Linked DNA regions of Kluyveromyces lactis. The main gene of each other region encodes a partner of the protein of the gene in region 2 in a complex. Links are inferred from orthologs where the notes say so. Each region holds a gene or a part of one and is shown on either strand. Other genes may lie near its edges.

What was found.
Region 1: the proteins of GCD11 (region 2) and SUI2 are in contact, whole or in part, in a cryo-EM structure (PDB 6I3M), measured with the Saccharomyces cerevisiae proteins. The link is inferred for Kluyveromyces lactis from reciprocal best matches to the Saccharomyces cerevisiae genes GCD11 and SUI2. Residues at the interface, in NP_010942.1 of Saccharomyces cerevisiae: Asp322, Asn324, Lys325, Pro326, Gly327, Ala328, Glu329, Ile330, Glu331, Leu333, Lys334, Gly335, Ile359, Ile373, Phe374, Lys401, Val402, Asp403, Pro404, Thr405, Leu406, Arg408, Arg411; in NP_012540.3 of Saccharomyces cerevisiae: Val190, Ser191, Cys192, Phe193, Ser194, Tyr195, Gly197, Ile198, Ile201, Lys202, Leu205, Lys206, Glu209, Asp210, Val220, Leu222, Val223, Ala224, Ala225, Pro226, Tyr228.
Region 3: the proteins of GCD11 (region 2) and SUI3 are in contact, whole or in part, in a cryo-EM structure (PDB 6QG0), measured with the Saccharomyces cerevisiae proteins. The link is inferred for Kluyveromyces lactis from reciprocal best matches to the Saccharomyces cerevisiae genes GCD11 and SUI3. Residues at the interface, in NP_010942.1 of Saccharomyces cerevisiae: Gln248, Val251, Asp252, Met254, Arg255, Glu256, Ala259, Leu260, Gln263, Leu267, Ala278, Ile280, Val281, Pro282, Ile283, Ser284, Leu287, Tyr289, Asn290, Asp292, Ala293; in NP_015087.1 of Saccharomyces cerevisiae: Val127, Gly128, Tyr131, Ser132, Leu134, Leu135, Arg137, Phe138, Phe139, Ile141, Leu142, Arg143.

Annotation. Positions count from the first base shown.
Region 1 is NC_006037.1:1,020,079-1,023,048, reverse strand, and holds SUI2 (translation initiation factor eIF2 subunit alpha), read right to left. Parts: upstream 1,524-2,970; coding exon 615-1,523; downstream 1-614. Other genes in the region: KLLA0_A11792g (uncharacterized protein), read right to left, coding at 1,954-2,970. UniProt on the Saccharomyces cerevisiae protein: eIF-2 functions in the early steps of protein synthesis by forming a ternary complex with GTP and initiator tRNA. This complex binds to a 40S ribosomal subunit, followed by mRNA binding to form a 43S pre-initiation complex.
Region 2 is NC_006040.1:897,647-901,326, reverse strand, and holds GCD11 (translation initiation factor eIF2 subunit gamma), read left to right. Parts: upstream 1-1,468; coding exon 1,469-3,031; downstream 3,032-3,680. Other genes in the region: leucine-responsive transcriptional regulator LEU3, read left to right, coding at 1-1,001; GTPase-activating protein SST2, read right to left, coding at 3,169-3,680. UniProt on the Saccharomyces cerevisiae protein: As a subunit of eukaryotic initiation factor 2 eIF2, involved in the early steps of protein synthesis.
Region 3 is NC_006040.1:750,610-753,417, reverse strand, and holds SUI3 (translation initiation factor eIF2 subunit beta), read right to left. Parts: upstream 1,476-2,808; coding exon 639-1,475; downstream 1-638. Other genes in the region: ADD37 (Add37p), read left to right, coding at 1-222; YAR1 (Yar1p), read right to left, coding at 1,970-2,590. UniProt on the Saccharomyces cerevisiae protein: Component of the eIF2 complex that functions in the early steps of protein synthesis by forming a ternary complex with GTP and initiator tRNA.

The DNA.
Region 1 (2,970 bases), on a different chromosome or scaffold from region 2:
TATCTGTCTATGTGTTTCCCTTTTTTTCTTATTATTTTCCTGGCCTAGCGATGAAATACCATACAGGATCCCAACTAGGCTGTGAATAAATGCAAATTACGTTGACGTTCGAATTAGTTTATTATACACGTTTAAATGAAATACCCGATGTGCTAATGTTACTACATAGAAGTTTCGTTTCGTTGTACTTTAAAGACTTTTCACTCTTTTTTCAAAATAAGGATTTATGGAGCTTCCCTTTATTATTATAAGAAGAAACTAGAAAAAAGGAAAATGGGAGTTTCCTAATGTAAAAATCCTTTAAAACGTCCAGTCGTAATCGAATGGAAAGGCTGACAGTAATTGGCAGATACCACCTGTTCAAATGCTAGAGTAGTTCTCTGCACAGTCAAGTGGAAACATAGGTTTATTACCTGAACATCTGTTAGAAAATGGCCTTTTGTTTTTGTTTCATCTTCATCAGTAAATATAATGCAATGTTAAGTGAAGTAAGAAATGGAGAGAGGACATGCAAAGACTTATAGGTATCGAAACGCTGTATACACGTATAACAACAGGAAGCAGTAGAAGTATATCTTTTTAATTCCTTTTTTTTTGGTTTCACTTTAAACCATCTATTCGTAATCGGAGTCTTCATCTTCGGAATCTGATCTACCTTCTAATTCCTTGGATTCTAATAGTGCTTGTAATTCAGCATCTTCAGTGGCGGTGACAGCCTTTGGAGCCATTGTGACATTACAGACACCATTGTACTTTAGAATGACTTCTTCGATCTTTGCGATAGCAGTTTCCAATAGTTGAACACCTTGATCTTTGTCCAAAGATTGGGTGGTGATGACGTACAATGGGGCAGCCACCAATTTGACTTTGATTTGCATTTGTTCAGTGGACAACTCTTCAGCAGATTTTAGGGCTTCTTTGATAGCATCAATACCCTCGTAACTGAAACATGAAACCTCGACATCTGCTCTGATCTTGACCGCTTGTGGGGTCAATCTTCTGGTGATTTGGCCCTTCAATTCTTGGAAAATTTCGTCGCTGATAGATTCAATACCATCCCAAACGTTAGGGTCCACAATGGACATCTTGTAGGCATCGTAAGCATGACCGTACTTTCGACTTAAAGGCCATGCATAAGCTTTGTACAAATCTTCCAATGATACTTGGTATTTCTCAGCACATTGTCTCAAGATGGAATGTACGGCCTTGGACTTTTGGTATCTTTCTTCACATTTGATGACATCTTCTGCAGAAACACGACGCTTAGACAAATCAATATAACCCTTCTCCTTATCCACTCTTAATACAACGACAACTTCATTCTTACCAACACGAATCAACTTTTGGATAGATCTAATACGTCTTCTTGACAATTCAGATAACAAAACCATACCTTCAATGTTGTCATATTCCAATAATCTAACGTAAGCACCCATTTCAGCGATTTGTTGGACGTTTACCATCACAACATCATCAACTTCAGGGAACTTGTTCTCGTAAAACCTACAATTGGAAGTGGACATCCTGCTCTGTATATCTAATGGCTCTGATGATAAATTCTTGTGTAATTTTTCAATTGGAAGATATACCACAAACTCAAAGAAAGTATACTCTGTTTGTAATCGTTATCTATCGCAAGATACAGATAAATTAAATTCCTCGGTATCAGAGACTGCTCGCGTAAGTTCGAAGCTTAATTGGAAACCTTTGTATACCGATATTGAAATTGCTTTGTTGCTTCAATATTGTATATGCTTTCCAATGATCAATCTTTTCAATTTTTTGATACTTCGCATCACAGTTTCGAAAAATTTTTAGATCTGCTCGTTAAGAGTGATGTACTACACGTGACCTAACTATTATAATTAAGTTTCATTACTTACTACTAATGGCCCTCAGGTATTAAGCTGCAGAGATACTAACTACCAGTAACCCATACTAGATGCGATCGTGCTAAGAAGCGCCAGAAGATTGATTTTTTAGCCTCGTTTTGATTGTTTTGATGTGTGCGAATCTGCGAGACCATGTAGAACAGTGTTCTGACGATACGGACTCGTGCCAAATTTGTGCGAATGTGTTTGCGACAGTACATAAATGCCTGACATACGCTGCGAGGCGCTGCCTATGCATGATTTTGAAGTGGGATGTAGAGAATATACCAGGAACTTCTTTTGCTCTGTAAATCTTCACCTTATAGAATTCACTCACAGAGTCTTTTTCATCTTTGCCGTTCCACATTGGTTTGATGACAAGGTTTATGAAATTGAATTGACTTTTGATTATGTCAAACGGGAACGAGTCCTGTTTTCGTTCATCGTAATATATGTTGATAAAGTTATTACCAACGTGTCTTTTTTTCATTGTTCGATCTGGATCTGCTTTGTCGTCGTTAGGCATTAGGGATACAGTATGGAACACGATTTGACATTTTTGATCATGCCAGATCAACGCGTACTCTCCATCTGTACCAGGATTCAAACCGCCGATGTAAAAAGTTTCATTTTGATCAAGTTTTATTATTGATCCGAGTTCGTTAACAAACCATTTGTATTGATGGGATCCATCCTCCATAGAGTGTGACAATATATCCTTTTCAGTTGTGTCATTGGGTCCCATGTATAGCAATCCAATCTTGTGAAATTCGACCACTGGGATAGTATCAACAAGCTGAATAGACTTTATCAAGTGGGGTTCTTCGATCCGAACCATGTCTTCGTACGTATCTTCTGCACTAAATTGTGCAAGAACATACCCTGGCGTGAACATATTTGCAGAGGCGGGTTTGGTGTTTTTACCAAATTGGAATAAATCAAAACTGTCAGGTTCCTTCTTTACTATGGGATCCACATTGAAGATGGAATTTCCGGATGCACCTCTAGTGACAACTAATGATGCTCCGGTTGTAGTGTTTACTTCTATGCTTAAGATTTTACCATCTCGATACCAGTATTCATGTAAATAATGCGGATC
Region 2 (3,680 bases):
ATGCTGTATCATTAATTTCGAATGCTTCTGTCCTCAAGTACGATATGGCTTATAGATCAGCTGGTATTATGAGAAGTATATGGAGCATGTTCAGCAACATGTTCGAAGAGTGGAAAGCGAAGAAAGACCAAAGTTCCTCTTCAACACAGTCAGAAAAGGATTTTAACTTGAGTATTACCATAAGATCTAGAATGTCTGTGAGTGTTTTCTTTGACTGCTTGTTCATATTAAGACAGAAGTGCGGTATGGCAAAACTAAAGAGAGAAAGAGAAAAGACAGTCTCCTCTGATGATGAAAATAGTGGCGATAACCATAACGGAGATGCAGAGTCCAAAGAACTACTGCCCAACGATGGGTATTCCGAAGAACATGCCAGAAGGATTATATCTACCATTCCACTTGACCCAGAGCCCATCAATGCACAGCAGTCCAGTGGAAGCAATATTACATCTCCGAACGGTTCACATAGTAGTGACGTTTTGTCATTGAAATCAATCCTAAACAAAACGTCCCCAAAGGACGAGATTTTGCAGAAACAGAAAAATGGTACAATGCCATCTTCATCTTCCCCTAGCAACAATATCATAGTATCACCTACAAACACACATGCTGGTGCTTCCAATGTTGAAACTAGCGGTTATCCCAGATCTCTAAATCCTTTGAACGCCGTCACAGACAATAAACTCATAAACCATTCTACCACCGCCAAGAAAACGAACTCCCCACAATTTAGGGTTTCAAGTCCGTCAAATCATAGTAAACCGACTCGAAAGATCAATCCTGCTGCGCAGTCCTTAAATGAGTTGTTGGAGCCACCAATACCGCAATCCTTCCAGTCCGTTACAAAATCGATAATATCAGAAGGAACTGAAAACAGAAAGGAAGATACGCCCTCAATTTCTCCAGGTCTTACGGAAAGATGGGACAACTGGGAATCAGATCTTGTTTGGAAAGATGTCGACATTCTAATGAACGAATTCGCATTCAATCCGACGTTGTAATATTAAATTATTGGTTATATATTTCTATAAATACTTATTATAAGACGAATTAAATCATCGGTTAACAGATTGATACTGCGAAATGACACCAACTGCTAACCTGTCACTGGCGAGAAACCTAAGCAAAACCAGATGTCGTTATGCACATTTTCCAAGTACTTAAAACATAATCACGTGATCGAAAATACCACCAGATTTCTCTTTCTGTACGAAATCGTTACTTTGTATCGAAAATTTTTTTGAATTGTAAGAATGCCAAATTCGAAATCAGTTTCAACAGAATTGAGTAGATATATGTGGATATGATTAATCTCGATGAGTAATGAAGGTGTAAAGGTATAAAGATCTTGTTAGCAACCGAGTTTAATTCCAGAGAATAGAACGGCCAGGTGCAGTATTTGGGAAAGTATCAAAAAGGATATCTAGTGATAGTTTTTTCTGATTGTTTATAATACCTAAAGTTCAGGATGTCTGATTTGCAAAACCAAGAGCCAAGTATTGTCATCAATGGGGATCTTAATGATGAGCCAATAGATACATTTGAGGTTGAAGAAGAGGAGCAAGTTTTTGATGAAGTGAAGCCTAAGAAGACTGTTACTTTCAGTGGGATTGATGATGTGGAAGCGGATGAAGAACGTAGAAAGAGAGAATTTGAAGAAGGTGGTGGTCTTCCAGAGCAACCAACGAACCCAGATTTTTCCAAGTTGAACCCTCTATCACCAGAAATTATCAATAGACAAGCCACTATCAATATTGGTACTATCGGTCATGTCGCTCACGGTAAATCTACCGTTGTGAGAGCTATTTCAGGTGTTCAAACCGTTCGTTTCAAGGATGAATTAGAACGTAATATTACCATTAAATTAGGTTACGCCAATGCCAAAATCTATAAAGCAGAAGATCCAGAATGCCCAGAACCAGACTGTTATAAGTCTTTCAGATCTGACAAAGAAGTTGCACCAAAGGTTGATCTTCCAGGTTACAGTGGACGTTATAAACTAGTCCGTCATGTTTCCTTTGTCGATTGTCCTGGTCACGATATTTTAATGTCTACCATGTTGTCTGGTGCTGCCGTTATGGATGCAGCACTACTTCTAATCGCAGGTAACGAATCCTGTCCTCAACCACAAACCTCTGAACATTTGGCTGCTATCGAAATTATGAAGTTGAAGCACGTTATCATTTTACAGAACAAAGTCGATCTAATGAGAGAAGACTCTGCTCTGGAACATCAAAAATCTATTTTGAAATTTATTAGAGGTACCATCGCTGATGGTGCTCCAATCGTTCCAATCTCAGCCCAATTGAAATATAACATTGATGCTGTGAATGAATTCATCGTGAAAAGTATTCCTGTTCCTCAAAGAGACTTCTTAGCGTCTCCGAGATTGATTGTCATTCGTTCCTTTGATGTTAACAAGCCAGGTGCCGAAATCGAAGATTTGAAGGGTGGTGTTGCCGGTGGTTCCATTTTGACTGGTGTTTTCAAATTAGGCGATGAGATCGAAATTAGACCAGGTATCGTCACTAAAGATGATCATGGTAAGATTCAATGTAAGCCAATTTTCTCCAATATCGTTTCCCTATTTGCTGAACACAACGACCTAAAATTCGCCGTTCCAGGTGGTTTGATTGGTGTTGGTACTAAGGTCGATCCAACGTTATGTAGAGCAGATCGTCTAGTGGGTCAAGTCGTTGGTGCTAAGGGCCATTTGCCATCTATCTACACCGATATCGAAATTAACTACTTCCTATTGCGTCGTCTATTAGGTGTAAAGACCGATGGTCAAAAACAAGCAAAGGTTAGAAAGTTAGAGCCAAATGAAGTTTTAATGGTGAACATCGGTTCCACCGCTACTGGTGCCCGTGTGGTTGCCGTCAAAGCCGATATGGCAAGATTACAATTAACTTCCCCTGCATGTACAGAAGTTAATGAAAAGATTGCATTATCTAGACGTATCGAAAAGCATTGGCGTTTAATTGGTTGGGCTACTATCAAGAAGGGTACCACTCTTGAACCAATCGCTTAATCTGTAAATTAACTAAATGATTTTATATATGTCTATATGTATATATTGTCACATTAATGTTCCATTTTCTTGGTAGAAAAGGCCACATTCTTTTGCAAGATGAATATCTTTATTCTTCATGATGAAATGCCTAGGTTCTACTTGTTAGCAGTTATTAATGAAATTGCGTCCCTATACGATTCTGTTGCCAGGAATTTGGGCAAAGAGTCGTTCTTCATCATGATAAATACGGTATTTCTGATTTTTTCCAGTAACTGATACAAATCCTTCAACATTGATATAGCATGAATAATGACGTATGACTCAGTACCCTTATTAAGAGGTGTCGGCGCCAATGGCATTGACGTGTTACTATGGGATTGTACTTTATGCTCCACGCATTTCTTCCGGGCAGCAGGATCGAGGCTTAAGGGTCTATTAACAGATGCATCCGAAATGGCTCTTGAACAATTTTCCTTGCCTGAAGTGTCGAACGCAGTTTTAGTTGGAGACTGAGGGTGGAATATTATTCCAGTAATTGTTTCTCTAACGTTATGATCAATATTAAGTTGATACGGAGACCCCAGTGCAATATAAGAGGAGTAAATATGGTAAACCAGCGAAAGGCATTCGCTAGTTTGTTTTAAAAGAGCTGATTGAATTGTATCTT
Region 3 (2,808 bases), about 150 kb from region 2:
TTACAAGATAAGGAATTTTCCTTTTATAAAACTAAGGTGGATAAGGTTCTAGAAAATGTATTGGAAAACGAGGGCACAAGATATGCGTTGAGTGAAATATTCGCCAACTTGAACGATTCAAAACGGGTTACAGATTTAATTACAAAATGGATGCTGTCGGATATGTCGGTGAATTCGTGGTGTCCTTCTTTCCGTAAATTGATCGAAAATGCACAGATATGATATTTTAACTGGGGGAAGGGTTTCAGATTATAGAGCTTAAATTTAAATTGATCTTTTAGAGCATTGATCTCGTCGTTTTGTTTATAACAACTAAATTACAGATTAGATAAAAACCATTAGATAACATACACAAACAGAAAAAAAATTAATAATGAACGTGAAAGAAGGATGAAGATACCTTCTATTCTCATTTCTTTTCAAGTATTTGGTGTTATTCATATGTTATGTGTGAATTGCACGATGCGATGCTCCCTGGAGAAAATATTCAACCATGAATATATTAGCTATGCCTTATGAGGTTTATTTGATTCCTTTCGAACTGTATCGTATTGAACATTAGAAGATTGTCGAAGTTTTTTCTGATTTTTCGGTAGATGTTAATGATACTACTATTTTGATACGTCATATCAATTAATCTACATTCTCTTTCTCTTACCGACGGTGGCTTGGAAACCGGTCTTGATGGAGGAAACGGATCTAGTAGAACCGCAACTCTTACAAACCAAGAAGAACAATCTGTTCGATTGTTCCTTCTTCAATACGGTATTGATACTCTTACAAGTCTTACAGGTGACATATTCCAGAATATACCTTCTTAATAGATTTTCCATTTGCTTTGGCAAGAACTTACCCTTGATGACCAATCTCTTTTGACCGTCAACAGAACCTGAGGTACCCAATTCCGCAAATAGATACTGGATTACATGTTCTGGGGATCTTTGTAATTTTTCACTAATTTCTTGGATGTTCGCAAATATAGTCTTCTTACCATCTCTTTGACAGATTGGTGGAGGGATCTTGAACTTTGGACCTGATCTATCACCGGCCAATTCAGGATTATTTGTGTTCAAAATCTTAAAGAAACGAGACAATAGGTCTTGGTATGGTAGGCCAACATCTTGTTGAATGCTAGAATCGATTTCAGTTGGAGTGGCCTCCTTGGCAATATCATCGACTGAAATACCTGCTTGTTCTAATTGCTTCTCAAAGTCATCCACACTGCTCTCGGCAGCAGCAGCCTTCTTCTTCTTTTTCTTCAACTTCAATTCGCCTAGAGCATCTGAAATGTCGTCCACTTGCTTCTCAGTGGTTTCTTCACCTTCCTTGCTCTTCTTCTTCTTCTTCTTCAAACCAGCAAAAAGATCATCTGTTCCCTCGGTGGAAGCAGCAATCAGTTCTTCCGGAACTACCTTCTTGCTCTTCTTCTTCTTCATCGTTGGATCGAATCCTAAGTCGGCCGCAACATCAGTCATCGTTGAGTATCTTTGTATCTTCTCGCTTCTTGCTAATCTCCTTAGTAATAACGGAAAGGGCCTTGAACTTTACACGAACTAGACTCTTGCCAACAGATTTCCACAGAAGTTGTCTTACCCTTGTGCAAATATGAGCTGAAGAATCCAATAGGATATTGAATAGCGATGACAATTGCGATCCAGTCGTTTCAATTCTCTTGGTTTTCCGAAAACTCACTATTTTCAAAATTTTCCCAGGCCACGCGATAGTGTTGTCATTGTGCACGTTCAGTGTTCGGGTAACACACGTGACTTATCTATTCTTTGGCCTTTGAGTCTGGTTAGATAAAACTCCGCTTGTTGGGCGCATGAGGTAGGTGTACCTATGTTTATTGATGATTAGTATACAGTTATGTACATGGACATTTGGTTCATATTTTATGCTCAAATTGGCCACAATACAGCTTTCCAGCCGAATGATTTTTTTTTGACCACGGTTCATTTTCAGAGGAAACTTATTCTAGTTGAAGCTTTTCAGTTTGCTCTCTTAGAGCTTCTGTAGCTTCTTTGGTCACTTGTTCAATCTCTGTACCTTCTCTAAATTGGACGTTGTCGATAGATGCGGGCTGTGAGGCTTGTTCTCCTTCCTTTTCCGATGAAGTTTCTTCCTCATTTTCGGTCGATTCGGGTTCCACGTCGAACTTCTTCAAGTAATATGTTTCTATCTCTTCTTGTCCGTTGTTTTCAGCTTCGTAGATGGCATCATGGTCGAAATTATTCCTGATGAATGGATCAGCCTCATACTCTTCACAAAGAAGCTGTACTATATCCAATTTACCATTCAACGAAGCCCAGTGCAATGCAGTGTTACCTGTTTCGTTTTGCTTGTTGACCCATTCCTTTAGTTTATCCTTTGGGAAAATGCTTAGTAGATATTTTACCACCTCGAAATGACCGTTGGCGGCTGCCATATGCAAGGCAGATGACTTAGACAATTCATCTGTACATTCAATGAGTGCACTTGGATCTATCAAAGTGGTAAAAATATCCTTAAGAGACTCCAAATCTCCAGCTCTTGCATCAACGATGATAGCTTCTTGATCTTCTTGATCTAAAGGTCCTGTATGTAGACTCATCTTACAATAATTTCGTTCTGTATTTTGGGCTTGATTGCGTAGTTTTCCTGTTCTCTGTTCATATCTTAGCTCATCTCATCTCATAATCCAAATTCTGTGAACTTTTCAATTTTTCATGTTAAAAGGTTACTTTTTCTTTTTCTCCGAAATAGATGTGCTAAAGGCTTTAAATATAATTCAGGACATCTCTGAGCACCTCTCTTTAGAACAACATGATC